Linked DNA regions of Ovis aries. The protein of the gene in region 4 interacts with the protein of the main gene of each other region in a pairwise test. Links are inferred from orthologs where the notes say so. Each region holds a gene or a part of one and is shown on either strand. Other genes may lie near its edges.

Region 1 (4,051 bases), on a different chromosome or scaffold from region 4:
GCTCAGTAGGTCAGCGTTGGGGCTGAGATTGGGGTTGATCTCTGAGGCTGCAGGTGTCCGGGGTTGGGGTCTCAGAGGCTGATGTTCTTAGGTCAGTTGGTTTGGACACAGAATGGGGGTTGGGAGCAGAGCCGGGACAGAACCAAGGTCAGGGATTGGGTTATCACCTCTTTCCGCTGGGGCACGCGGCGCCACCAGACATGGTCACAGGAGGAGCAGGCGAACTGCCGGTCCACGGCAGGGATGAGGTCTTCCTGGGCACGCTGGAACATGCGTAGATTGTCTTCTGTCAGTGGCAGGAGGGATGTCGCCACCGCCTGCAGAATGGGGTGGGCGGGGCCAAGAGGGCGGTCAGTCCTCTTCTCTTCCAAACCCCTATCCTGTCCCTCCTTCTCACGTATGGATACCCCCAGGGGTGTGCACACCGCTCCACCTCCCCATCCCACACCCTGGACTCACCTGGATGTCCTGGTCCTGCTTCATGTCCTCTGGGGGGTCCTGGGTGGAAACATCAGGGGTAGAAACTGGGGAGGTGGCTCATGCCTCTTTTCTGGGGGCAGGGCTTCTGGATGGGGAGGCAGGGTTCTGGCCCCATATGAGTAAGGTGTCCCCAACTCAAGAGGAGTTAATTGAGCAGTTTCCACTTCCTGAGGGCAAGGGTGTGTGACCTCAGTTGTCCTCATAGCAACCCTGAGAGGTGGGCACACCTGTGATCCTCATTGCTCAGATGGGGAAACTGAGGCCCAGAGCTCTGAGAGGGCTTGCCTGAGATTACCCTGAGTGAGTGTGGGCAACAGGCCTGGGCCCCATGCTCCCTTCATGCTGGCAAATGCCACACACTTGCTGGCATTGTGACAGGTCACCTGTTTGAGGCTATGCTGCTTTAGGCTAAGTGCTTGAGCTCTGGATTCAGAGAGCCACAGGTTGGAATCCTGGCCTCATCACTTCCAGCTGTGGGGTCGTGGCCAAGCCACTCTCCCTAATGAAGGACATCTAGGAGTCCAGGTTCTGACTCTAGGTGACCTGGGTTCAAATCCCAGTCACCACCTGCATTCAGCATGAGCCTGGTGAGTGACTTCATCACCCTGTGTCTCAGTTTCCTCATCTGTCAAGTGGATATGATAAATAATAGGACTTGTCTCACAGGACCTGTGGCAATAAGTCAACAGAATTCCTGGAGTCCTGTTGCAGGGAAAGTGCTCAATCAATGATACTCTTTGCTAGTTTTATTATACTCATTATATGTATAACTGTAAATATATAAATGTTACAAGTATAAAACATACTTTATTATACTCTTTAACAGCTCTGTGCTGGGCCCTTTCAGACAGGCAAACCAGTGCACCAGCTACCAAGGCCATCTAAGGGGCAAAGTGGCCATACAAAGGCTCTCATTCATTCATTGCTTTAGTCATTCATTTACATGGGCTTCCCTGCCCCTCTTTCCTCCCCTATCTCTTACTCGTCCCAACCTGTCTGCAAGTTCCTCTGCTCAGGTCACCCTCTCTTCCAGGAAGATCTCCAACCCCTCCCCTTCCCAGGGATCACTCCTCCCTAGGCTTGAAGAATGTGGTACCACCTCCTCCAGGAAGCCTTCCCTGACCTCTTTGGCTCCTCTGTAATGATGATAATCCGGATTCTTTTCACTGCCTAGTTTCTTGTCTCTCTCCATTTCATACAATCAGCATGTAATGAGCACCTATGGTTTGCAGGCTCCTTGGTCAGATCCATAACTGAGAGGTAAGTGAATGAGGCTAGACCATGAGTTGTGGATGGACAGTGCACAGAAAGAGCTCTGCCAGGGATGAGCCTGACCCTTCCCTTCTTCCTTCCCTTACCACGTGTTTTGAGGGGAGGGGGCAGTTTACCTGGGTGTCCAGATCATTACTCAGTTCCTGTCCATCCTTCTGCTTTACCCCTGGTGGGGAGAGTAAGTGTAAGTGAAGGCCCCTTGAAAGGTTTTGTGGGAATTTCAGGGCCCCCAGAACCCCGATCCAGACCGCCCCCCAAAGAGATGATCTCATCGCCTCTTCCAGCCCCCAGCACAGACCACACCCCCTCCCTGCTCCCCAGCTTAACTCTCACCAGGCAGGACCCCCACCTGCTCACCATACACGATGGAGCGCCCCACTCCAGTGTGGTCGCTGCCAAATTTCCTCATCAGAGTCCCTGCCTTCTTGGAGGATACCTTTCCATGAAACTTCTCCCGGAGGCGCCGGACGCTTTTCTCCAGCTGGGGTAGGGGACCGGTGGGGGAAGGAAAAGCGCAATTGCCCTTCCTCCATCCCTAGGCTTCCTTTTTTCACGGCCCGAACTTGACCCCGGGTTTTGGCCTTCGCACCCCCCCCCCCCATCCCTCTACTGCATTTCCTGGAAAAAGCCAAAGTCCCCACAGAGTACTGGGGGAGGGAGCGGACTAGGGCGAGCGTCCCAGGCTAAGGGATGAGGCCGGCCAGATGACCCCTGGCCTCTGACCCTTGACCCAGCAGCCCCCGCTTTCCCTCGAGGAGGCCGCATTTTGCTCCGGGGCATGTGGCGGTCACTCTCCTTTCCGAGGGAGACGAGTGCCAGCCTTGGGGGGAAGGTCTGGGCTTGGATGGAGTCCCCAGCAACTGCGAAGCCCGCTCCGTGCCCCTAGCTCCTCCTCAGCATCTCTCGCGGGCCACCGGCCCAGTTGTAGCCATCTCCTACCTCCACACCTTCTTGAGACATGGTGGCGGCGTAGGTCCCCGCGAGGGTCCGCACTGCGCGCTCGGCGGCCCCCTACCTGGGCGCGCCCGTCGGTCCGGCCGCGCAGGGCAGGGGGCGGGGCCTCCAGGCCGGCTCCGCCCTTCCTTTCCTGCGCTCCGTTTCGCTTTCGTTTGGGAACGGGGGGGTGGACGGGGAGGGCTGGCTCCGCCCTGGCTCCGCCTCTGCTCTTGCGCCCCAAACCCAGGCGGGCGCCCCGGATCTGCACCCTGCGGCGGAGCGCGCAGAACTCGGGCGGGGGAAGCGGCGCGGCCTCTGCAGTCGGTCACATGTCCCCACGCTGCGCGGGGTCCGCGTCTTCACGTCCCTCGTGGGGGCGGGGCCGCATCTGAAGGCCGCGGCGAGTCTCCGTGCCCCCGCCTGTTCGCGCTCCCCTGTTCATCGCTCGGTCCCCTCCCTCCACCCGGAATCAGGCGCTAATGAGGATCTAGACCCCTGTCTCGCTCTGAGTGTCTTATCCGGCTATGTCTTCTCTCTGAACCTCAGTTTACTTCGCTGTAAAGTGGGGATGATGATAGTGGCTACATCCTGGGGACGGGTGTGTGTGCTCGCGCGCGCTCATGCCTGTGCGCGCGCGCGCGCAGGTGCAGGATTCGAGATCCCCAGGTCGAGTATTTAGTAGCGCCTGCCATGCTGTAGACATTCAACTAGTCACTGGGCCACCTACTATGTGCAAGATATTAAGAAGCAGGCAGTTGTGGTGGGGAGAAGATGCTCGTTAAAAATACGGATTCCTGGTTCCTCACAGTCTTGCAGAATCGGTCTGTCTAGGGGTTCCAGGGAATTTGCGCTGAAAAACGGAAGATTGAGAACCCCGAGGGATCAGGACGATTTTAACCCAGCATGGGGGGTGGGGGGTGGGCGAGGGGGCTGGAAGAGCCCTGCCTGGCGGCATCAGAAATGGTTTCTTTAAAAAAAGAAAAAAATGGCTTCTTGGAGGAGTCCGGAAGACCGAGGTCTCAGCAGTCAGAAGATCGGAGTGCGGGATGGAACAGCTTTGGGTGCAAAGACCCCAGAAAAAAGTGACTAGCGCTTTAAGCCAGGGCTTCTCAACCTCAACGCTATTGGCATTTAGGGCTGGGTGATTCTGGAGGCCTGCCCTGTGCATTGTAGGATATTTAGCAGCATCCCTGGCTTCAATCCGCTAGATGCCTGTGGCACTCTTGCCCCAGTCGTGGTAACTGAAAATGTCTCCAGACGTTGCCAAATGTTCCCTGGGGGTGGCAAAATTGTGTTAGGATAAATGACACCCCTCAAATTGTTTAACCTCCATCAGTAAAGATGTGGAAGCTCAATTCCTCGA
Region 2 (4,214 bases), on a different chromosome or scaffold from region 4:
TTAATATTCTGTCAAGATACTCCCTGCTCTGTATCTAGATGACTTCCTCCTGGCTTTGCTCCCCTCCATATGATGAGATGATGAAGGACGGGACCCATGCCTGCTGGACGAGAAGAATCGGAGTGGTACCAGGTTTCCACTGCAGACTACGTGACGGCCCTAAAGTAGAAGTAATCACAGGATGCCATTCTTGTGCTGTTTAGTGTCTGTCTCCCACTGTGAGCCCCATCCCTGAAGGCAAGGGCCTCCTTATATATTTTGATATTTCCAGTTCTTAACGCTTTGGTAAACACTTGATTAAAAAAGATGCTCAATAAAAAGTGTGATGCATTCAATTAAGTGGCTCACTTCTCTTCCTCCAACTTGAATATTCAGTTGTAGTTCAGAATCAGTGGGTACCAGGGCTTCTGGGGACAGTTACAGGAATTTGACATAAGCATTTATTTCAATCCCCTGCGGAGAATCAGGTGGCATGGACACATACTACTTTGCTACAAAGAATTAGTGGAGAGAAACTTCTTCAAGAGAGGAGAAAGGCAAGGGATGAAGTTCATTCAGCCCAGAAATATCTACTGAACATCAATTGTGTTTCCCACACAATTCAAGGTGCTGGGCAAAGAAAGAGGAAAAAAAGCACAGGCCTTGATCTGAAAGAATTTAATGTAGTTAAAAAAACAGCAGGGACTTTAATATACTAGGAACTCACAGCAAAACTTGAGAATATGGGTATAAGCTATATGATCAAAATTAAAGCTCCTATTAAGAGAATTAAGAAAATCAAGGGGAAAACTCAATATTTCACCATCAATTCAGCTTAAGATAATGTTGCACTTGGCTGCAAAGAAGGACATTTTCTTAATTTCACAAATGAAAGAACTCAGACCTAAGTAGTTATACTACCCACACAAGATCGTGTTACTAGTTTCAAGCAGAGAGGTGCTCACACACAGTTCTTTTGATGCTCAAACCACTGGGACGTGTGAAGAAGTTTGGCCAAAGGCAGTGGTTCTCATTCTGAGAAAGCCAGATCAGCAGCGCCAGCACCAGAGGACTTGTTAGAAATGCAAATGATCAAGACCCAGCTCTGACTTACAGACAGTATCTCTGGGGGTGGCTCCAGTAACCTGTGGGCCTTCCAGGGGATGCCGATACTTGCTAAGTCTGAGGACCAGTACCAAAAGCAAAGGAAGGAAATCTAAGGTACGACTTTTCCAGTGCTGCCCAAATGTAAAGGCAGAAAAGTGTCTAGGACCATTATATGTTTTACGCCTCTGCCAAATAATTGGAAAAATAATGTTGTAAACCTGTAACTTACCTCATCTGTATAGTTTATAATGCTCAAGAGTCCCTCATTTAGTAGTAAACCTTGATATGCCCTTGAAATGACTGTCTACTGACGTATATACAGAGAGAGTGCAAAAGTGGTAGAGCAGAAGAAAGGAGGAAAGCCTAGGAATCCCAGGTGTTTGGTCCTAGGAAAAGTTCCCATCCTCCCTGCACCCCTGGCAACCTTCTTACACCGGACGGTAAAAGCACAAAGTTACCCAAGAAAAATGCCTGCAATCCCTAACAGCTCCCCTGTCATGTATCTCCCACTAACAAGCCTCCCATGGCTGCTTCACACTTCCTAAGTGGCTTTCTGGCTCAAGGCCCATAGAGCAGCTTGGAAGAGAAGTTGGAGGGATGAGCGACTCCACTAGCTTTCCTTGTGGCTTCTGAGTGAGGCTACCCTGGGTGTCACCAGCAGAATGTGGACAGACAAAAAGCAACAGTTCTAAGTCTAGCCTCTAAGTAGACCCTGGATGTGCTAAGATGTGAGAGCACCCCAGGACCAAGGCAGGCAGGGTTATCAAAGTGACCAGGAGAAAAGAACATCCGTGTCCAGAAAAATTAAAACCTGGCTGACAACTTTCCGAGAAAATGAAGCAAATCCATGGCAGACAAAGTAACAAACTTTTAGTGAAACCAGACAAAAAGCCGGGCCCGGGTAGCGATGGTGTCGAGAAGTGCCAAAACTAGCTGCTAGGGGTTGAGGAAGGGACGTTGCAAGTTGCAAGTGAAGACAGCAGTCGCTAGCTTGAAAGAAGATTCGGATCGGTCATGGTGAGCTGAAAAGGCACAGACCAGATGGTCTCCAAAGCCTCCGATGATCACGGGTAATAAAATCACGGGTGAGTGTATCTACGTGTGTTGCAGCGGAGTTAGTGGTTGGCAAGTGATGGGACTCGCCAGGACAGGGAGCCTTCGGGAGGACTGCTCTAACCAGGTGAGAAGCGGGGTGAGAAAACACCGAGCCGCTGGAGAAAACAGTTCAGGCCGCCGGAACTGAAGGGGCCTCGACCACTCCTCCCTCGGTTTCAGGGGGAAGGGGGGCCGCTGGCGCGGAAGCAACGGGAGGTACGAACTAACTGCGTTTCTGCAGGCCTCAGGAGGGGGCGGAGGGCGGTGGCTGCAAAGAAAGAAGCATGTATCGCCATCCACATCTCCGGAGGCTCTAGCTTCGGCCTCCAAGACACATGGGGACCACCACGCCTCGGCCCCCTCCACGCACTGCCGCCACCCCTTCCCCAGGACAGTACGATTCCCCCGGGGCTCCAGGGGGGCGGGGTCTCCGACCCCTCCCCCTCCTCGCCGCTTAGCCCCGCTCAGCCCGCTCCGGCCCGGCCCGGCCCAGCCCCCAGCACTCACGGCTCCAACAGCTCCGGCGGCTCCTCCCCTGCCCCGGCTTCTCCCCCACCCACTCCCGGCAGAGGCAGCGCCGCCGGATCCGAGCCGCGCGGGGCCCGGCGGGTCGGAACACGTGGGGCTTTTGCGCCCGGAACCGGAAACTGCCCTTCGCTCCGCCCCCTCGCCGCCCTGGGGCCTTTCTAGGCTCTGGGAGGATTGCTTGTTTCTCTGTGCCCCCTGGTTCTAGGAGGCTCACCGGGACGCGAATCCGAGTCAAGGGCTTCAGATAGATCGCTTCTGTCCAGCTCTCCTGCCCCGCTCTGCAGGGGGACGGGCTATGGGGTTGTGGTGGGAGTGCATTTACACTCGTGCCCTTGCAGCGGGGGGTGTGTGGGGGGAACTCTTTTTTCTTTTTTCTGTTTCAGCTGTTTTGTTCGTTTTAATTTTGATACCTATATCTTTACCTGTTTTTCTTGGTCCCCTCCCCCCCCTTTCTTTGCATTATCAGGGACACATGGTAGAAAAGAGCAGTTTGGGGGTTGACTACTGCCTCTTGTAGCTGCCATCAGTTGTAGGGATTCGGACAAATCCACTTCTGAACCTCAGTGTCCATCTTCTTTAATGGGCCAAGTAATACTGTTACTGTAAGGGCTAAATAATATCTTGCATGTGAACTGATTGGAGCTTAGTAGAAGCTTGCTGGTCTGCTGCTTAGTGGCTTCAGTCTTGCCCAGCTCTTTACTACCCTGGAGAACTGTAGCCCTCAAGGCTCCTCTGTCAATGGAATTTTCCAGGCAAGAATACTGGAGTGGGTTTCAGTTTCCTACTCCTTTTGTGTGTATGCACATGTGTGTGTGTGTTCGTGTTGGAGTCATCAGTTTGCCATTTTCTCCTAGTGGTGGGGCCAGTGTGAGGAAAGCAGGAGAGACTCCCGTCCTGAAACCTGTCATCCATCTTAAAGCAAGATGTAAACTGGGCCTGAACCCTGCCCAAGAGTGAGGAGACTGTTGCCAATGAAAATCATATCTCCTGGAGACTTCCCTTCCTACAGATGGCAAACGCATATTGTAGTTCAGGTCAGGCTGCCCCTCTTAGATTAACCATGAAGACATCCCCCCTTGATGTAAAATCATTGTCCCCCCTACCCCCCTCACACATAGGGTTTAACCTTAATTGTTTATTCTCCTAGCACCTACTGTAAAACTCAGTCATATACAACAAAGAGGTTGCTAACATGTAACCAGTCCTGTGGGGGCCAGGGGGCGTGGTGTAAAACTGGGCCTCAGAAACATCAGGGTCCTTGTTGGGAGCTGATTCCCCTTGGACCTGCTGGCATAATAAACTGTACTCCACTGTCTTGAGTGTCCTCTGAGGTGTGTTTTGTGACTTTGGATTCCACAACATTAGCAAGGGGTCTTGGACATCTGTTCATAGTACATATATTTCATCCTTATTCCTTCTGTCTTTCTGCATGACATTCCACAGTCTGAATAGCCATTCGCCTAGTAATAATATATGTTGTTTATAATTGTTATCATGGACAGTGT
Region 3 (4,059 bases), on a different chromosome or scaffold from region 4:
TACTCCAGCGGGGAGCCGGCCGGAGGAGGAGGGCAACCGGGCCGAGGGGCTGATTATGCACTCGAAGTTGAGGGCGCCCAGGTTCCCAAGCCCCTCTCGGGGGGTGGCAGCGCGGATGCCTCCGTAAGGGGACCGGGAGGAAGCCCCTTGGCTTGCACGGTCCCCGGAGCCCGGCTCCACTACCTCTGGCCCGCCCCGTGCGGGGCAGTCCGGCCCGGCGCGCCCGGCCCTTTGCTTACGTGACTGGTGGCCACGCCGGAGCCCCGGCACCGGGTAAACAAGGAGGTGGCGGCGGCCGAGGCGGTCGGGGAGCGAGGGTGGGGGCGGCGAGGTGGGGAACAGAGGTCTCCGATTGTCTGCGAGTGCGAGGGGCGGGGGACGCGGGACGCGGAGGAAGCTCCAGCAGCTTCTCGTACACCCCTCTGTAGAGGGGACCGGGCGGGGGCAAACCAGGTTTGCCACTCACTGCCAAGGTGCCCTTTTTGGGTGCACCCCCCCGCCAAAGCCGGCGCCACGGGACAGACTCGGGGGAATGGGGGACCCGGGCGGGGGGGGGTGGTTAGAGTAAGAAATCACGCCCCTCCCCCTCCAACAAAAGCAAACACACCAAACAAAACCATGTCTTCACCCACCTCCCCACCAGCTCTGACCCTACAGGCGAAGGCATACTGCCCCCCACCCGACACCCGGAATAATCGCAAACTGATTCGGCTGCAACCGCCGGCGATGCGCCTTTCTCGTAACCCAGGCACCCCGAGAAAACAGGGACAGAAGAAAAGAAAAGAACGCACCACCAACCTCCCAACACAAATCCTTGTTTTTGCCTTAAGCTACTGCACGATTTCGCTGCCATCACGCGGTTACTTTAACCCCGAAGGCCTGGGGTGTCGGTCATCTAGGGTGTTTTTGTGTTTGAGGGTTGTTGTTGTGTTTGGGGGGGTTAGGTTGCAAGACTTGACACGTTGCAATCGGACCATTTTTCTCCCTTTCTTTCTCTCACCCCCCCCCCCTCTTTTTCTCTCATCTCATTGATCTTCCTACTTGCTCGGACAGATTAAACAGCTAGCTTTTCTCTAGTCTGTGGCCTGTCCGCCTCGGCCCCTTCCTCCTCGCAGCTATTATTTGTGAGAACCGTGCTGGAGACGCCGCACTCGCGTGCCCCCGTTAGGGCGCTGAGGCGACGGCGTGGGGAGGATTGGGGGACCCAGGCAAAAATGAAACAAACAAATATGAAAAAGGAGGCCAGGCCGGGGTGGGGCTCCCAGCCCGCCCCCCCCACCCCCGCCCGCAACCATCTCTCTCCACCTGAATCTGGGGTGGGGGTTGGGGGAGCAGTAGAAAGCCACCAGGAAGGCATCTGCCTTCCTCGCCCAGCGCGCTCACTCGGGAGCCGTATCCCGGAAAATAAAGAAACAGCACATAACAGCCCACACCTTCTTCCACAACTATTGTTTCCTGCGAGATCCCAAAGTTTCCTTCTCGCTGAGTCCCCCTCGCCAAGTTTCCCGGGCGCAGCACCGCGGGTCCCGGGCGAGCTGCTGGCGGTGCTTGGTTTTGCCGGCCTGTTTCTTTGGGGGTGGGGGGAGTCGGGGGCAGGGGCACCTAGGGCAGCAGAGGCGCAGGGGCACTGTCTCCGTGGACGCGATGGCCTGAGCCCAGCCTTGCAGCGAGAAGAGAGGAAAAGGCAAAGTAGACAGGAGGAAGAAGCAGAGCCGAGCCAGCCGGAGCCCACGCCGTGGAGGGCTGTTTGCTTGTTGTTATCGTTGTCGTGTGTCTATGTGTTTTCTTTCTGGAACCGCCGAGCTCTGCCTACAGTTTCCAACTTTCGTCTTGTAATCCCCACCCCACCCAGGAACGAGCGACGGAAAAACAACACTTGTCTGCCCGAGAAGGCTCCGGGGGAAAAAAAAAAAAGGAGAGAGGAAAAAAAAAAAAAAAGTAAGAAACGCGACCTCGAAGAGATGAGCTCTCGGCTCAGTTGTCAGCAAACAACAACACTCCCCCGCTCCTCGGCCCAGCGGTTCTCCCACCCTCCCGGAGACGGACAGACTGACGCACCGACAGCACCCCCCCCCCCCCCCCCCACCCCCCCGCCTACCCCCTGCTCGTCTTTGTTACATCTTTAGCAGCTTTGTGCGTGCGTGTCCTTTCTCCGGTGTCATCGGCTTTACTGCCGAGGGCTAGATGTGAGTGTGTTGGGGAGAGGGGGGCTAAGCAGGCGTCAGGGGTCGCCCAAGTGGGCGAGGAAGAAAGAGCCCGGCGCCGAAGAGGAGCCAGGGCCCCCAAACTTACTTTTGTTTTCTTTCTCGATCTGCTCCAGGTAGCTGGCGGCCTCGAGCAGAATCTGCACGTTCTGCAGAAAAGTGTTGATGTGCTTCTCCATCGAGTTCTCGCTGGTGTTGAAAATGTCCGAGAAGGGGCACCTGAGCTTGGCCCCCGCGGGCTCCTCCGGCTGGGCCGGGGGCTGGGGCGCGGTCACGGCCGGGGGCGCGGCGGGGGCCAGCCCCGCGCCCTCGCAGCGCGCCTCCTTGCGCGGCCGCCCGCGTTTGCCCATGGAGGGACCGCGGGGTCCGCCGAGCTCGTCCTCTTTCGGGGCTGCGCGGCCCGGCCAAGCTCCGGGCCCCGGGGGAAAGCCGGCTGGCTGGAGCGAAGAAGGCGCCGAGGCAAGAAGGCGACCTGACTTCCCGAGCCTCGCTGCGTGCTGTTGTGTGTTTGAGTGTGTGTGAGTGTGTGTCGGTCTCGCTGTGGGTCTGTGTGTATGGGAGATTGAATGAACCTACAGGACAGACGGAGGCGCTCTGGCGCCTGGGTCCTAGTGCGAGCCTGTCGCCATCGGACTGGTCAAAATGAAAGGCGGAGACAAGCGAGGCAGGGACCGCCCCCTGCCAGTCCTGGCATACTACCCCGCCTCTCCCCAATCTTATCACATTGTAGAGCGTAGTATTTAAACCCAAATGGAAAAAATACTCGAGGGCTCGGAGCGTACCCACAGAAAAACAAACTATTAAACTGTTGTTCTTTTACTTCACGTGAAAATAATACCAATGCCTGGCACCACATACTAGATTCCAACGGTAGCTGCTATGACTTAAAAAATAAAAGTCCAGTCCAAAAAAATCATACACGTTACCTCAAGTTCTCTCCCCTCAATAGACACACTCCTACATACACACACACACACACACGTACACGCACACGCACACACACAGAGGCACAGAAATCTGCCTTCACAGGGCCAAATGAAATCCCCAGGCCACCAAATCCCAGTTACAAATTTACTCACTCTTTCTTTCTCCCTTCAAATGCAGAGTTATTTTCCAGGAAGGGGGAGGAGATGGAAGCGTCTCTCCCCACACTCCTCTTCCCAGCCTTAGTCCAGCTGTGCAAAGCTCACAGTAGGGAGCCTCCACACCTGGCTCTCTTTTATTTTATTTGGCAGAAAGGCGGACGTGGCAGCCCAGGAACTTCCCACCCCTACCGTGGCTGAATTCCACCTTTTGGTTCTGAAGACCCCTACCCTAGGCGACACTGTTCCATTGCCAGTGCAGACCATTCAGGGTCTGCAGGAACCATGGATGCTTTCCAGGCCTGGGAAGTGTGGTGGCAGTCAGGGCCGTTGGGGAATGCCATAGAGAGGCATTCAAGCCCCAGCTCTGCTGCACACAGACTGGACTGTGAGTGTGCCTGGGCAAGTCCCCTAACCTCTCTCAGCCTGTTTCCCCATCCATGAAACCTCTGATAAGATTCATGAGTTGATTAAATTATATCTGCAGTCAGCATGCTCATAGTATGATCTTTTTCTTCCAATACAGACCCAGATAAGAACCTGAGTCCCCTACTTGGCAGCTAAAAGGAGAAATAAGTTATAGGAAACAAGACTCTCCTGCACTTTGTTGAAAAACATCTGTGCAATAAGCCTATCTAAATATTGTTGCCTTGCAAGGTCTCCTGGAGGTTTCCTCCAGGGAAACCATTTATACAGAAGACACAGTGAATGCTGCCCCCTGGAGTTGTGCAACCCAGCCACTCTGCTTAGAGACAGCTTCACACACACTTGTC
Region 4 (4,035 bases):
TTCAGATTCGTACCTTTTACAGCAAAAGAGATACAGCCAATGCTTACTCTGCTGGACACTGAGAAAAGTGCTGAGCCCTACAGCTGAGGGACACATGACATCAAGGAACCCACATGCCATAATTTCTTCTACATCCAAATCATGAAAAATTCAAGCTTTGTGAGCATTCTTAGCTTGAAAAAATATTATAAAGGGAATCCTTGTGATGTGTGCATGTAGGTATGTGAGAGAAGAAGCGGAAGAGCCTACCATATGTTAAGTTCGAATTCAGATCTGGTCTTACTCTAGCTTGTACTTGCTTCTAAGTCCACAATACAAGCAGCTCATACAGCTCAATATCAGAGAAACAAATAGTCCAGTCAAACAAAATGCGCAGACTTAAACAGACATTTTTCCAAATAAGACATACAAATGGCCAATAAACACATGAAAAGATACTCTACATCTCTCATTATTAGAAAAATGTAAGTCAAAACTACAATGAGGCATCACTTCACACCAATCAGAATGGCTATCATCGAAAAAATGATAAGCAATAAATGCTGGAGAGGATATGCAGAAAACGGAACCTATGGCACTGTTGGTGGGAATATAAATTGGTATGGCTGCTATGGAGAACAGTATGGAGATTCCTTAACAAACTAGGAATAAAGCCCCCATATGACCCAGCAATCCCACTACCAGGTATACACTCTGAGAAAACCACAGTTCAAAAAGACAGATGCACGCCAGTGTTCATGGCAGCACTATTTACTGCGACTAGGACATGGAAGCAACCTTGACTTCCATTGACAGATGAGTGGATAAAGATACATACATTGATACACACATACATAAAGATACATACATGTACATGCATGTATGTAAAGATACATACATACATTGAGATAATACGTACAAATGGAATATTACCCAACCATAAAAAGGAAAAAAATGAGTCAGTTGTAGTGAGATGGATAAACCAATAGCCTATTATACAGAGGGAATCATTAATAAGTCAGAAAGAGAAAAACAAATACTGTATATTAATGCATATATATATATGGAATCTAAAAAAATAGTACTGATGAACCTATTTACAGAGAGGAAATGGAGATGCAGATGTAGAGAATGGTCTGGTGGACACAGCAAGGGGAAGGAAAGGGTAGGACAAGCTGAGAAAGTGACTTTGACATATACGTACTATCATGGGGAAAATAAATAGCTCATGGGAAGCTGCTGTATAACACAGGGAGCCCAGCCTTGTGCTCTGCGGTGACCTAGAGGGGTGGAATTGAGGCAAGAGAGGCTCAAGATAAAGGGGATATATATATATATTATATATATTATATATATATATAATTATGATTGGTTCATGTTGACATATGGCAGAGACTACCACAAGATTGTAAAGCAATTTCTTGCAAGGAAAAAAAAGTTCAAATTAAACTTACTTTGACCTAAAGTCATCAGCAGCCAGTTTGCAGTTGTCAAGCTGTACAGCAAGTCTACAATTTTCTGCCTTCGTACACAAGATCTGGGAAGAAAGTTACTATGTCATGAATGGTTCTTTGAAAGAAACCCACATATCTACTCATTTAATAACTATGCCAGGGTTTATCTTTTAAAAGTCTTTATAAGAAAATATAGGCCTTCAGCCTGCTTTTACTGACCATATCATTTCATGAAGGAAAAAGGAGGGCCAATTTATAAACAAAATAGAGAAATAAAAAGGTTGTTGTTTTTTTTTTAATGACTTAAAAACATTTTTGCAGTATTCCTTGGCCACTGAACTTAGGTAGATTTCTCTCTAGGAGTTTATATTATGACTACATCTCCACCCATGATAATAAAAATTTATCAGTAAGAAAAAGACATAATTACCAGGTAAAATTATATGGTTAAAAGATGACATTTCCATATCTATGTTAAATAATGTACTTGTACAGTGTTACACGCAGAAATAATTTTAGATATCACACTGCTTTTCCTCAAGGTAAATTTAGGGATAAGCGGGTTTATTGTGGTCATTTAGTAATTAGCGGCAGCATACAGGCTAGCGCTGATGTTTACTGACTTTTTCCCCCTCTATTCTTTTGGGCCATGCCGCATGGCACGTGGGGTCTTAGTCCCCCACCAGGGATGGAACCTAAGCCCGCTGCAGTGGAAGCACAGTGTCTGAACCATTGGACCACCGGTCACCCTGTTTGCTGGCTTTTTGTCCAGTACCCTTGCCTCTACATCACATTCCCCCTGGGAAGCCCCTCCCCTTTCCCTGGTTTCCCTCCACAGAACAGACTCTTGTAGTAGTAGAAACATAAAGCACATCACAGAGTGGGAAGGTGGAACATTAGGGTGATGGGATACTAGACCTTTTGCTGGAGATCTTCAATGGTGTCGAAGTAACACTGATAATCAGGGCACACCAACGGGACATCCTCTTCACTCTGTTCCCGGATCCTGCATTCCAACTCAGCATTCAACTCCTCCAGCCCGCGCACCTTCTCCAGATAGCTGGCGAGCCTGTCATTCAGGAACTGCATCGTCTCCTTCTCGTTACTGTTGAATGCACCGTCCTCACACCAGGCACAGTTCCCCAGCACGCCCGGAATATTACAGCTCCCCGCAAAGCAGGACGGTGGGAGGCACCCAGTTGGCAGACGAGACCCGGATAGAAAGCTGGGGGTCTGGCAGCTGGATGTAGCACAGGCGCTGGGGAGACAAGTGGTTGCCGCGGAACAGGTTGAGGCAAGCGCACAATCAGAAGCCCTGGCACTGGATTCAGAAGAGCAGCCCGTGGGGGAACAGTCAGAAGCCATTCTATCAGAAGTGAAGGGCAAAGACTAGTTGCAAAACTCCAACTGCCCGCCTCCAAAACTCTCATTCCCTCCCGAGACTTTTATATATACCCCACTTCAAATGGGTATTTACAGACTACACAGGATGTTTTCCGGTGCATTTTTCATATGAACATTCATTAGTGTTGTTTATTTGCTGAAGAAGAGTTTTATGCTTCGTAAAAGAGCCATAACTTCAGGTTTCTAAATAAAGACACCATCTCCATGTGCCAATAGGATAAAGCACTTGTTTCAGAAAATCTTCACAGGAAGCATTGTCCTTTTGACAGAATAAGGAAAGAAAGAGAAAATTTGGGCAATCAGTAATTATAGATACAACTGATTACACATAAAGGAAATCATATCCCTACAGATTTTGATCCTGTGCATTGAAAACTGCTCGTCTTCTTTTGAAATTAATGTTACAACTCATTTAAATGCTATTTATTTGTTTGTGCCCCCACCATAAAAGTGTTCTGTGTGATTAGCCATCTTCAATGCTTTTTGTGGTCTTGCTGTGCTCACATGGTGGAGGACTGAGTGTATACTGAATTTGAAGTGTGTGTGTGAGAACCATACATGCCCATGTGCAAACTGAAAAGTCACTTTACATAACTGATGGGCATCACTTTTGCCCTACATGCCAAAATATAAATTGGTTATCAAAACGTGGAGTTGTAATCTTTGATTTCCTGAAACTTGCCTTCTCTACTTTTCCTATGCTTCACTTTTATATCAGAGATACTGATTTTTCATCTGTATCTCTAATAAGAATGAAATATGAATTCTGTTATAATTTTTTAGTCTCAGGAAGCTAAACCTTCGTTAACTACACTTCAGTATAGAAGGAAGAAAGTTACAAAAGGCATTTCTTCTGGGACATGGAAGCTGTTTTCTCAGATTTACTAATTTATTTAATTTTGAAGGCCTCAATTTCATGAAAATTAAATATGCTGGAACTTGGGAATAAAAGTCTTTTGTATGAGTTCCAGCAATTCCATTGGATGAACTCCCTGGGGCAGTACTGAATGGATAGGGATCTGAGATGTAAGTTTTCTGGGTTCTTTCTTAAGTTTTATCTCCAATTTTCAGTTTTCTTGCCTTTGATTGTGGTATTTATTTCATTTTAAAAAGTGTACAGAGAAAATTGTCTGCAGAATGTTAAAGATCTTTATGGGGTGGGTAGCCCATTACTCCGACAAAGTTAAAATTTTCATGA
Region 5 (4,030 bases), on a different chromosome or scaffold from region 4:
TGGAAGGATCCAAGAGAAAAAAAAGTTCCATGGTTTGTGAAAAACTCTAGGTTAATCAAATGTGTCTTTACTGCAAGACTTTTCAGAGCCTTTAAAATTTTCAGCTGTGTTATGAACTCCCAAGAGGGGATGTAGTATGCTGTGTTCTCCAATATACTTATTGACAGGAATTCCCCCCATGCTTCCCCACCTCACTTTTTGTTCTTGGAGATTTCCTATGACAAGTACTTCACACTTCACCCTTTCATAAGTTCTGGGACAGGGAAAGACTGAAGCCATGGCACAGAACTCTATTCCCCACTGTAGACTTTTTCTTTGGTTCCTCAAAATGTGTCTGACATTCATACGCTTCTGAGATTACCTGAGAGGCAAATGAGTATTTTCTATTTAAAGCCAAATGTACAAAGGCAAGTAATTTTCTTAAAACTTGGAAATGTTTATCCCACCCTCTCAACCATCCCAATGAATCAACAAACTAGTTCGTGAGAGAAAGTTGCTGCTATTTTATATGCTTTTTAAAAATCAATGCTCAGTCATAATCAAATTAGAAAATGAATCACATTGCCAGATCTCTGTCTAGCCACCTAGGCTGGAAGCTGTTTGTCATCAGGTTCTCAGTAGCCCCCTCTCTGCTGCCCGGCTGGGACCTGGGCCTCCCGGGTCATCCGATCAAAGAAGTTGTTGGCAAGTGTTCTCACGTCATCTGTCCTGGAGGCCCTGGAGATCTTCTGGAATTCCTCGAAGGTTGCGTCTTTCTCTCGCAAGATCTGCTCCATCCTCTGCTCCTGTCTCCGAATGGCTTCCTTGATGCCCTCGATGTGGCATCTTTCCTCCTTCTCGGCTTTCAGTTTCAGGATGTGATGATTCTTCTCCCGTAGGATGTTGAGCTCCCGAATGTGGTGCGCCTTGTCCCTGACGTTCTTGTGGACCTGACTCCGGGTCTGCAGGATCTTCTGGTCCGCCAGCTCCTCCAGCAGCGACTTATGCTCCTCTCTCTGCTCCTGGGACTCTTCAGCCCACCTCTTCACCTGCTGGAACCGCTCCTCCTCCTTCTGGACTCTGTCCTTCAGCTCTCTGTGGGGCTCCTTCATCTGGCCCTCGGGCATCTCTTGGGACCATCGGGAGCTCTGTTCCAGGGACAGCTTCCTGAGGAGCTCCTCAGCCTTGGCCTGGCAGTCCATGAGGACCTTCCTGGCCTGGTAATTGACTAAAGAGCTGAGACTGGTCTCCTGGATCTTTTTCTGGCCCTTGGTGGGGTGAACGTGCTTCTTTAGACATGCCTGCGCCAGCCTCTTCTGTAGCTGCAGGCTGTTTCGCACCTGCAGGTCCCGCAGCATCCTCTCTGGCAGGCGTTGCCCCTGGCACTGCTTCTCCGGCTCCGCCTCGGGTTCGGAGGGGGCCCCCTCCAGCTTCTCCTGGCGCTGCTTCTCCTGGTCCTCCAGCGGTGCCTTCCACCCGCTGCTCTCCTGCTGGACCGTGCTGGTGGCTCGTCTGTCCCGCCGCCGGACTCGCAGCTCCCGGTTCAGACGAGCCTTGCGCTGCCCCTTGTCCTGCTGCCACTGCTCCTGGCTCTGCTGCAGTAGCAGCTTGCGCTCCCTCTCCAGGGTCAACTGGACCTTCTGGTCGGAGCGCTTCAGCTCCTCCCAGGCCAGGGCCGCCTGCTGCTGCAGCTCCCGCATCCTCTGGGCCTTTTTGAGCCGGCTCAGCACCAGGGCCACGATCTTCTGGTCCCTGGAGGATATTACTGCCTCTTCCAACTTGTTCTTGAGGACCTGGGTGTGCTGCTTCTGCATCTCCTTGCTGGAAACTAGGGACTGGGAAAGCTGGCTGGTTAATGACTCCACCGGATCGTTGCTGTGTCTTTTCTGGATGTGCAGGCAACCCGACTGCGTCCCAAACTCTCTGGAGGACACAGAAGACTTCTCCGTGTGGACTGAGGAAAGGGACCAGGGACGTAGACCCCTGCCGACCGGCACTGCCCACTGGTCTCCGCTCTGCGCCTTTTCGTCCTCAAAGGCTCGGTTCGCGGGAGTGTAAGCTCCCTGCGGGTAAGGAGGGGGCGAATCTCCCCGGGCGGGAGGGTAGTGCTGGCCGTGCTGAGGCTGGGGCTCCAGCTGCCAGGCCGGGCTGTGCCGGCTGCCTCCCTGCTCCTGGGGCTTGGTCCTTGTCTCCCCCCAGACATCCTCCAGGCGCCGGCTGCGGGGTCGGGGCTTCCTGACACGGTCTAGTAATCTCCGGGTCACGTCGGTCAGGCTGCGACTTTCTTGCGGCGAGTCGGAGTACGGGCGCCGGCTGGGCCGAGGGGTGGCTGAGCAGAGCAGGTGAGGCCAGGGCGCGGTGGCCTCGCTCTCCTCGCCTGGTGTCCGGGCCCAGGAGCACAGGCCCGATTCGGTCCGCGGTCCCGACCCGTCCAGCTGAGCCAAGGATGCGCTCTCCTCGCTGGGCGGCGGAGGCTCCCACAGGGCCGAGTGGGGCCGCGGGGAGAAGCGGCCGAAGTCCTCCATTCTCCTTCCTGCACGCCCAGCGTCTGAATCCGGGTCCCGGGTCTCGGCGGGGGCGCTGCTGAGACCCGCCCCGCCCTCCGATCCCGGGGTCCTGGCCGCCTGTGACGCTCAGGCCACTTCACAATGCTCCCGGCGCCACCTGGCTGCTGCAGCCCTCAGCCCTCGCCCACCTTGGCCTTCCTAGCACCCCGCGCAGCGAGAGGCGGGAAGGCGGCTGGAGCCTGGGAGAGGGCGTATGGTAGAGGGGGCTGTAGAAAGTTCGGGGCACCCTAAAGATGAGGGTGCGTAGTGAACCCCCACCTGTGTTGCAGGCAGGAATTTGAACTCGCATTTGTACATCTTAAACTAGCAGAATTTTAAAAGGATAGAATGTGGCCTGGAAGTGTGGGGTGGGGAGTCCTTTAGTCACAGGTCCCTACCACAGTGCACCTCTGCAGTGTAGGCAAAGTCGAGGCTCGTTAATTTATATGCACCATCCTTTTGCCCTTATAACTTAGCATGCTCAAGGATAGTTTTTTAAACTTTTAGAGGACAGAAAACAAAACACAATAGTTTGTTTCCTCCTAATACAGCAATTACTGCTTTTGTCAAAATAGGAATGTTAGGTGCATATTTCTGAAATAGCATTGGTGGACACCATGGCAAATCACTTTATTGTTTTCCTTTTTCTCCAGTTTTATGAGATGACTTTTTCGGGTTGAGGCATTCAGAGCTCATGGGAAGAGCACTAGATTTGGTCATGTAGACTTGAGCTTGACTCTCCTCTGCCACTTTCCACTTGTGTGGTCTTGGCCAAGTTGATAACTTTCCTGACCCTCAAGTTCTGGAACAGATGACTGGAAGAGGGGCCATGACAATACCACTGTAGGGCTGCCATAAGGTAGATGAAACTATGCCTCAAGAGCCTAGCACCTTAATACAGTCAATTAATATCATTTTGATGTCCTTCTAGCCTTCAGCTACAAATTGTAAGATTTAATACAGAAAATACATTTAATACATTGTAAGATTTTTACATATGAACATGTTCCATTCCAATAGTGTATTCCTAAATCCAGTTTGTCATGAGTCCAACAAGGTTAGCCTAGGTACCCAACTAACACAGTCAGCTATATAGTACTGTAAGGTGGTAGGTTTATAATACATTTCACACAAATAATACATACAAAACATACACAAAAAAATAAAACATTTTTAATCTTACAGTACAGTACCATGAAAAGTGCAGTAGTACAGTACAGCATCTGGCACACAGGGGCCAGCATCAAGTGAACAGGCAAGAAGAGTTATTGACTAGAGGAGGGAGAGGAGGTGGGAGATGAGATGGGAGAGCTGAAGAATCATCAGCAACAGGAGACGGAGGGCAAGGTGCAATTTCACTCTCGCCTGACATTGGTGTTCTAAGTTTGGTTCCCTGCTGGAACCAGATGCACATTCTCATCTTTGAAAGTTCAAAACTTAAAGGTTTGTATGTAGGGGACTTACTATATATGGGTTTACGAAAGTTTCTACAGATTCCTAGCTTA
Region 6 (4,104 bases), on a different chromosome or scaffold from region 4:
TGGTCTGTGCTCCATCCCAATCTCAACAAAATAACTGCTGGGTTGGGGGCGGTGAGGGGAACAAAGGGGCAAACTTTAAACCTCCCTCAGGTTATTGTAAGCTGTGCTTAAGAACGACTTCTGGGATCACCAGCAGTAACCCTTTATAAAACTAAAATGAAATTGTGTACTTTTTGAAAAGATGGCAAGAAAGATAGAAGTTAGGAAATACTTGATTTTGAATCTAGTCCAAGCAAGAGATGAGACTTTGGTTTCATTTGTACTAGGAGACCTAGTCCAAGCTCCCTGGGAAGATCTGAGGATACCGGGAAGCTCGTAAGGGCTTTTAACAGAACTTCAAGAACAAGACAGCTGGTGATACACCTCATAAGTGTCCCTGACTTGCCAGTGGCCAGCAGGGTGAGGCTCAGCACCATCCCCTGGCAAGGCGTGGTGGCCCAGACCTCACTTGACAGGCACGTGAAGGCGGGCACCCTCCCACAACACATCCTGGATCATTGGGTGGGGAGATGTTTCCAACCCGGAACGTGGCCCAAAGGCAGATGAGAGCCTCATAGTTAAGTCACAGAGTCACTGATGTGGGATCAGTCCTGGCAACAAGTTCATGATTTCAAGGAGGCAGAAACATACATGCGGCTCCTGTACAAGGTAGTGCTGCCTCCAATGGGGCCGGCTGTCTGCTCCCTGCGTGTCTGGCTTCACCATGACCGGCATGGTGACCAGCAAGCGCTCATTAAATGCCTCTGGGGACTGTGTTAAGCTGACTTTGTCGTTCTTCAACGGCTTCACCACGGAGTGTTAGGGTTCCCTGAGCCGGCACCAGCAGCTAGCCAGGTTAAATGACACTCCAGCCAGAAATACGCGACAGGCCATAAGTTAATAAGCAGTGGGAACCAAACCCAACCAGAAATTCTGCCCTGATTAGGATCCTTAGACTAGCTCTCAAATAGCTACTCGAGAGGCCTGACTTCCGCCCCCAGGTTCTACCTCTCCAGTATCTTCCGAGGTCCCGAGAGGCTAGAAATGGGAAGGTTTCATTTTTGAAAGGAGCAAGTCAGGTAGGCTGTGTAGACAGGTCTACACTCGCTGTTTTTACCCTTTTCTCCCTGACACCTGCGACCAGGTTGGGGCAGGGTGTGGTCAGGACAGCAGGCTCCTTGCTCCACACATGCTGAACGGTCCTCTGAATGCAAAATGCCACCGGACGAGGCCACTCTGCCTCCAATGAGCTGTCCTCCCAGATTTCCTTCTCTGGCCGGCTCCTCCCCCCGGGCGCCACCCAGACCTGTGCTGTCCCCGCGCGCAGTTCAGCGCCGGCCTTCACCCTCTCGCCTTCTCCCCTTCTCCGCACTTCTTTCATTTTCTCTCCCCCCAAACCCCCTGACCGACCGTCTCCAGTCTCCATCTTCCCAGCCTTTCTCCTCCGGGTCCAGGCCTCCTACGAAGCCACACCCTTGCGGACCAGCGCCCGGGAGGAGTTTGATAATTGACTTAAGGTCAACAAAAGAAAAAAAGTGAGCTCGGAGACACTGGAGCACAGGCTCCTCCGGCGGAGCTGAGAAGGGCTCCCGGCCCCGGGCCCCAACCTGCTGGGACGCCCGGCAGGACCCCGCCCGGCCCGCGGGGAGCACGGAGGGACGCGCCGGCGGCCGCAGGTGCGGGCGGGCTGGGGGGCTGGCAGCGGGCCGGGGGGCTGGCAGCGGGCCGGGGGGAGGCCCTCGCCCGCGTCTCGGCCGCGCGTCTGTGCAGCCGGCCGCGCCCGCCTCGCCCTCGGCGCCCCCCGGCCACGGCGGCCCGGCCCGGCGCGGGCGGGAGGCGGGAGGGGCTGCCAGCGCGGGGTCTCCCCGCGGGTGGCGGTCCCGCGCTCCTCCGCCCTGCGGGCTCAGCTGCGAGCGGCCCGGTGTCCGGTGTCGGGTGTCCGGTGTCGCCGCGCCGGCAGGAGAGCGGCGGCGCAGAGAGCGGGCCGGTGGTCGCGGTGAGGGGCGCGCGGGCAGCTCCGGGCCGCGTTCGTCGGAGGAGCGCCCGGGGCTGCCGGGGAGGGAGCGCCTGGGGGTCGCGGGCGGGGAAGGCGGTGCGCCAGGCGCGCGCGCCCCGGACGCCCAGGGCAGTCCCGGATCCCGTGGGCGCGGGCTGCGCTGGGGGGCCGCGCGGGGCCGCGGTGGGCGCGCCGCCCCCGGAAGGCGGGCCCAGACGGTGGCTGCAGGCGGCCGCGCGGTGACCTTCCCCCGCCCTGGGGTTCGCGAGGGCGCCCTTGGGGTGGCGCCCGGGGCACCGGGGAGTCACTGCAGGTTCGCTCAGAGTGTCTTTCTCTCCCCAAGAGTCACAGGAAAGAGGCGACGGAGCGCCCCTTTCTTTCTAAACTTGAGTCCGCTCAACCCTAAAAGCTTTGTTGGGTGCCTGCTTAAGAGAAACAATGACTTGGATACAGGTTTTTTATTTTTTTTTTCAGTGAAGAAGTAAGTGGAATCAATGCGGGCGTAGATCTGGCGTGAGTGAAATTTCTAGATAAACCCGTGTGCGGTGATTTCAAATTTCTGAAGAGTGTTATATCATCTTTACAGAATTTACCAAATTGATGTCGCCCCCCTGCCACCAATTCATTTTATCTTCAAAGAGAACCTTTGTGCGGGTAGACTAATAAGGCAAAGTTGAATGAGATAACTGAAAGCTGGCTGTTTGAAAAGAATTATAATTCAAATGATATTCTTACCATTAAAGTTATAATGTCCATATCACAATATTTTTATGATTAATTAGGCTTTTTTTTTTTTTGGTGCTCAATTGTGTCAGACTCTTTGTGACCCCATGGACTGTAGCCCCCCTAGACTTCTCTATCCAGGGAATTTTCTGGACAAGGATACTGGAGTGCCTTGCCATTTCCCTCTCCAGGGGATCTTCCAGATCCAGGGATCAAACCCAGCTCTCTTGCATTTCCTGCATTGGCAGACAGATTCTTTACCACTGCAATGTCCTTTCGGGTAAGGTCTCAGAGACATTAAAAATACAAAAAGTCCTCTAAAAAAAAGAATCGTTGTTTAGAGGACAAGTATGAGCAAGTATGAGAGCCAGGCCACACCTATGGGAGTCCTGGGAGACAACTGTGACCCATTAGAAATTTATTTTTGGAAAAAGTAGCAGACGTGGACGTGTTGCTGGTCATTTTTGTCTTTTACGAAAAGTATTGCACAGGAAGAAACTGAGTTAGCCCAGCTGTCCTTTTTACTGGGTCTTGAATGGGGGCAGCCCGCTGCACTCAGTGTGCCCGACTCAGCCGCAGCACTGATTGTCAGGGGGTAAAATAGGGGAAATCCTGGCCAGTTGACTTCCTCCTTTCTGCTTCCTCCACCCTGCCTCCACTTGCCTCCGTAAGTCCCCGCTGGATGGTGTGGCACAGACCTCAGGTTACAGAGTCACAGTTCAGGCTCCTTTTACGGTGAGGAAAGCCAGCGCGGGTATGTGAAGTGACACCCAGCCCGGCAGAGGCAGGGCTGGCCTCCCGGGCCGCCGGCGCTGTGTTTGAGGTTCCCACTGGCGGGCCCCAGCCTCAGCGTCCCATGCAGTGCTTGTATTTCAGCAACCTCGCCCCGCAAGATTCTTGTCAGCGGGATCCCCAAGTTTTCGTTGAGGATAGGGGGAAGCCAGTGTCTTTCCCTGAAGGTCCACTAATTACCTTTAATACAAAAAAAAAAAAAAAGCATGTTTGGGGGAAACCGCACAAGATTGAAGCTGTGAGAGCTTGGACCTGTCATCCCTGCGGTACAGAGCCGCCCTTTCCCCCAGTCTGTCTCCGCTGCTGGTCTGTTCCCCAGGGGCTGTGGATGGAGCTGCGGGTGGATGCTGTGTAGACAGTGCTCTATGTGAATGCCGTGAGCCCCGTGTGTCAGTCACTGCCCGCTGTCCTTCCTGGGGTGGGGGCTTTTCCGTACCTGCCCTCCCCTAAGGCCACTTGCACTTGCAGAGATGAGGCTTCTGCCCCCAAGACGTCAACCCTGCCTCACGCACTTTGGGTTCAGCATTTCCGCTGCTGCCAGAACTTGCTTCTGAAGCGTCACCTGCAGTTCCCCATCCCGGTGATGCTCTGATTCTGAAAGGTGAAAGTTAAAG
Region 7 (2,889 bases), on a different chromosome or scaffold from region 4:
CCTGGGAAGCCCCCAATGGTGACACTAATGTGGGGAAACCAGAATTCTGGTGGGAGGGCATTTTATGGACAGTAATTTCACATGCTTCAGATTGAGAGCTTTAAATATTTAATTAATTCTACTTCTTGTAATCTTAATCATTCATGCAAAGATCTATATACAAGTGTTCCATGGAATCATTACCTATAATATGGCAAAGACTGAAAATAGTTTAAACAATCAATAATGATTTTGAAGAATTTTTAGAAAAAAGTTCATGTTAGATGAGAAATACCAGGAAAAATGCTAAACTTGCAAAATATCAAATATTATTATTACACATTTACTATGTAACTATAAAACTCAAAAATACTCCAAAATATTGATAGTAGCTAATACTGAATGAGAGACAGGACCTATCCTCCTCCATTTCTTAGATTATCTTCACTTACACTGTACTACTTGACTATCTGAATCAGAACCCTCCCATCTAAGAACAAATGCAAGAATTTTGAAGGTGCTACAGTTGAAAATAAACTCATCATAGGTCAATTTTATTTTCAGTAGTTAAGAAACATTTAAGTACCAAACAATGCAAGTGGACCTTGAGCACCCAAGGGCCATTATAGCCAAAAGATGAGGCCCCCATAATAGGCAACTAGTGCAGGAATCACTGCCCTAGGAAGGATGCACTGTCTAGGAAGGGCCACCAGATCAGACCCCCCTTTCCCCAGCCCTGGCTTAGCGAGCAACAGGGGGCCCAAAGCGCTGCATGGTTCGCATCACCAGAGAAAGCTGGTCCAGAAAGTTGACAATGGAGATTCGAAGGAGGCGGCAATCTTCAGCTCTCCAGCAGCTGAAAATGACAGAAAAAGAGAATCAAGGTGGAGATGGGTTGAATCAAGGGCACTGCGTCACCTCCATAAACACAGCCCTTGAGTATGTCCAAACAGAGCGCCCCCGGCGAGAGACAAGCTTGGTCACCTGCTACCACTTCCAACCAGCCCCTTTTCCAACTTACACAGCCAGGACATTGCCGCTCACTGTGAGCTCCTTCCCAACCGCCCCACGGTGAGGTTCGGTATCTGGGGCCAGTGACCCATGGGCAATCTCTGCCTCCAACGCGGACGGGAAAGGCACGCTTAGGGTGCTGATGGAGATGCGGTTAAGGTACCACCCACAAGGATTTGGAGCTCTGGGTCCTGTCTCAGGACCGCTTCCAGCCCCTCCGGGCCGCTCGTAGCCCTAATCCAGCCCAGCCACCCCACTGCCCCGAGATCCCATTTCTCCCCCCGACCCACGCCACCCAGGCCCATCCCAGCTTCCAGTCTCCCTTCAGCTCTCTATTCTCTACCCGCCCCAGGCGCCCTGGCCATTCCACCCCCCAGCAGCCCCTGACCCGCCGGTCCGTTTGTCCCACCTCCCACCGCAGGCATCCCCCAGCCCAATCCGCACTGCCCCTCGAGTAGGATACAATACGCATGGTCGGCTTCCCGGCTTTTGGGAAGAGTGCTGGGCCGGCGCGACACCCGGAGCTCCGTGGTCTGCAGCGGAAGCAGCACCCGCGCTGCCGGGGCTGCCCCGGCCACCCCCGAACCCCCGCCGGCCCTGGCTTTCGGCGCCACCCGCCAGGATGCCTGCGCCTACGTCCCCACCTGTCTCCTGCATGGCTGCCGTGCTCCGCCTCCAACCCCACCCACTGGCTCCAGGACTCTCCGTCGCCCACCCGCTACGCGAGCAGCTTAAAAACTGCTGCTTCTTCCTGAAGCGCCGCCCCCGCCCCGCGCGCCGCCCCCGCCCCGCGCGCCGCCCCCGCCCCGCGCGCCGCCCCCGCCCCGCGCGCCGCCCCCGCCCCGCGCGCCGCCCCCGCCCCGCGCGCCGACCCCGCCCCGCGCGCCGACCCCGCCCCGCGCGCCGACCCCGCCCCGCGCGCCGACCCCGCCCCGCGCGCCGACCCCGCCCCGCGCGCCGACCCCGCCCCGCGCGCCGACCCCGCCCCGCGCGCCGACCCCGCCCCGCGCGCCGACCCCGCCCCGCGCGCCGACCCCGCCCCGCGCGCCGACCCCGCCCCGCGCGCTTGCGCAAACAGGTCTGGTGGAGCCGGCCGGCCGAGGGGAATCTCCGTTGGCCGCAGAGAAATGAATCTCCCTTCCTCAGTTCGGGGCTTCCCTTGTAGCTCAGTGGGTAAAGAATCTACCTGCCATGCAAGAGATCCGGGTTTGATCCCTGGGTCAGGAAGATCCCCTGGAGAAGGAAATAGCAACACACTCCAGTATTCCTGCCTGGAGAACCCCATGGACAGAGGAGCCTGGGGGCTACAGTCCGTGAGGTCGCAAGAGTTGGACACGACTTACTGACTAAACCACAGAGTCGGCCACGACTGAGCGACTAACTCTTTCTTTCCCACAGCTCGGGCCTTTCACAAACTGTATGACTCGATTTTAACTTCCCTTTTCTGTTCTGCAAGTTTTTGACAGTAACCTTATACGGCATTTTTAATCAAAAATAAGTTTTTAAAGTGACATGAAATTTCTGATGGTGATAGCCCTGTTAGTTTTCTGTTTTCCTCCTTTGTAATCAGAAGGAAGGGCATAAAGGTGAAGTAGGTTATCAAAGCCTGTTGGATCACCCCTCGAAATCCATCCTGAATCAGCCTACCCTCTCCCCCTTCATTGCTAGTCTCCACCGGTGGCCACCCTATCTCCCTGAACTTGATATATATATTTCACATATAATTTAATTGTTTTTGGCTGTGCTGGGTCTTCCTTCCTGTGAGGGTTTTTGTCTAGTTGCAGCAAGCGGGCTTATTGCAGTGCCTTCTCTTGTTGGCAGAGCTCAGGCTGTAGGGCGCGTGGGCTCTAGAGCACAGTCTCAGTAGTTGTGGTACTTGGCTTAGTGGTTCCCAGGCAT

What was found.
Region 1: the proteins of KRT40 (region 4) and SHFL interact in binary tests that used the Homo sapiens proteins (3 or more experiments, as listed by UniProt). The two-hybrid records come from large-scale screens. The link is inferred for Ovis aries from reciprocal best matches to the Homo sapiens genes KRT40 and SHFL.
Region 2: the proteins of KRT40 (region 4) and ZNF202 interact in binary tests that used the Homo sapiens proteins (3 or more experiments, as listed by UniProt). The two-hybrid records come from large-scale screens. The link is inferred for Ovis aries from reciprocal best matches to the Homo sapiens genes KRT40 and ZNF202.
Region 3: the proteins of KRT40 (region 4) and MXI1 interact in binary tests that used the Homo sapiens proteins (3 or more experiments, as listed by UniProt). The two-hybrid records come from large-scale screens. The link is inferred for Ovis aries from reciprocal best matches to the Homo sapiens genes KRT40 and MXI1.
Region 5: the proteins of KRT40 (region 4) and CCDC185 interact in binary tests that used the Homo sapiens proteins (3 or more experiments, as listed by UniProt). The two-hybrid records come from large-scale screens. The link is inferred for Ovis aries from reciprocal best matches to the Homo sapiens genes KRT40 and CCDC185.
Region 6: the proteins of KRT40 (region 4) and SH2D4A interact in binary tests that used the Homo sapiens proteins (3 or more experiments, as listed by UniProt). The two-hybrid records come from large-scale screens. The link is inferred for Ovis aries from reciprocal best matches to the Homo sapiens genes KRT40 and SH2D4A.
Region 7: the proteins of KRT40 (region 4) and LAGE3 interact in binary tests that used the Homo sapiens proteins (3 or more experiments, as listed by UniProt). The two-hybrid records come from large-scale screens. The link is inferred for Ovis aries from reciprocal best matches to the Homo sapiens genes KRT40 and LAGE3.

The regions. Positions count from the first base shown.
Region 1 is NC_056058.1:12,503,755-12,507,805, reverse strand, and holds the start of SHFL (shiftless antiviral inhibitor of ribosomal frameshifting protein), read right to left. Parts: upstream 2,801-4,051; 5' UTR 2,713-2,800; coding exon 2,692-2,712; intron 2,234-2,691; coding exon 2,110-2,233; intron 1,919-2,109; coding exon 1,869-1,918; intron 499-1,868; coding exon 460-498; intron 318-459; coding exon 168-317; intron 1-167.
Region 2 is NC_056068.1:34,082,025-34,086,238, forward strand, and holds the start of ZNF202 (zinc finger protein 202), read right to left. Parts: upstream 2,801-4,214; 5' UTR 2,689-2,800; intron 2,450-2,688; 5' UTR 1-2,449. UniProt on the Homo sapiens protein: Transcriptional repressor that binds to elements found predominantly in genes that participate in lipid metabolism.
Region 3 is NC_056075.1:30,309,417-30,313,475, reverse strand, and holds the start of MXI1 (max-interacting protein 1), read right to left. Parts: upstream 2,801-4,059; 5' UTR 2,555-2,800; coding exon 2,293-2,554; intron 680-2,292; exon of another isoform or gene 1-679. UniProt on the Homo sapiens protein: Transcriptional repressor. MXI1 binds with MAX to form a sequence-specific DNA-binding protein complex which recognizes the core sequence 5'-CAC[GA]TG-3'. MXI1 thus antagonizes MYC transcriptional activity by competing for MAX.
Region 4 is NC_056064.1:40,929,765-40,933,799, forward strand, and holds the start of KRT40 (keratin, type I cytoskeletal 40), read right to left. Parts: upstream 2,801-4,035; 5' UTR 2,799-2,800; coding exon 2,352-2,798; intron 1,517-2,351; coding exon 1,434-1,516; intron 14-1,433; coding exon 1-13. UniProt on the Homo sapiens protein: May play a role in late hair differentiation.
Region 5 is NC_056065.1:26,076,934-26,080,963, reverse strand, and holds CCDC185 (coiled-coil domain-containing protein 185), read right to left. Parts: upstream 2,564-4,030; 5' UTR 2,505-2,563; coding exon 615-2,504; 3' UTR 501-614; downstream 1-500.
Region 6 is NC_056079.1:37,635,031-37,639,134, reverse strand, and holds the start of SH2D4A (SH2 domain-containing protein 4A), read left to right. Parts: upstream 1-1,304; 5' UTR 1,305-1,655; intron 1,656-1,916; exon of another isoform or gene 1,917-1,975; intron 1,976-4,104. UniProt on the Homo sapiens protein: Inhibits estrogen-induced cell proliferation by competing with PLCG for binding to ESR1, blocking the effect of estrogen on PLCG and repressing estrogen-induced proliferation. May play a role in T-cell development and function.
Region 7 is NC_056080.1:79,963,787-79,966,675, reverse strand, and holds LAGE3 (EKC/KEOPS complex subunit LAGE3), read right to left. Parts: upstream 1,695-2,889; 5' UTR 1,648-1,694; coding exon 1,454-1,647; intron 1,130-1,453; coding exon 1,001-1,129; intron 836-1,000; coding exon 721-835; 3' UTR 501-720; downstream 1-500. UniProt on the Homo sapiens protein: Component of the EKC/KEOPS complex that is required for the formation of a threonylcarbamoyl group on adenosine at position 37 (t(6)A37) in tRNAs that read codons beginning with adenine.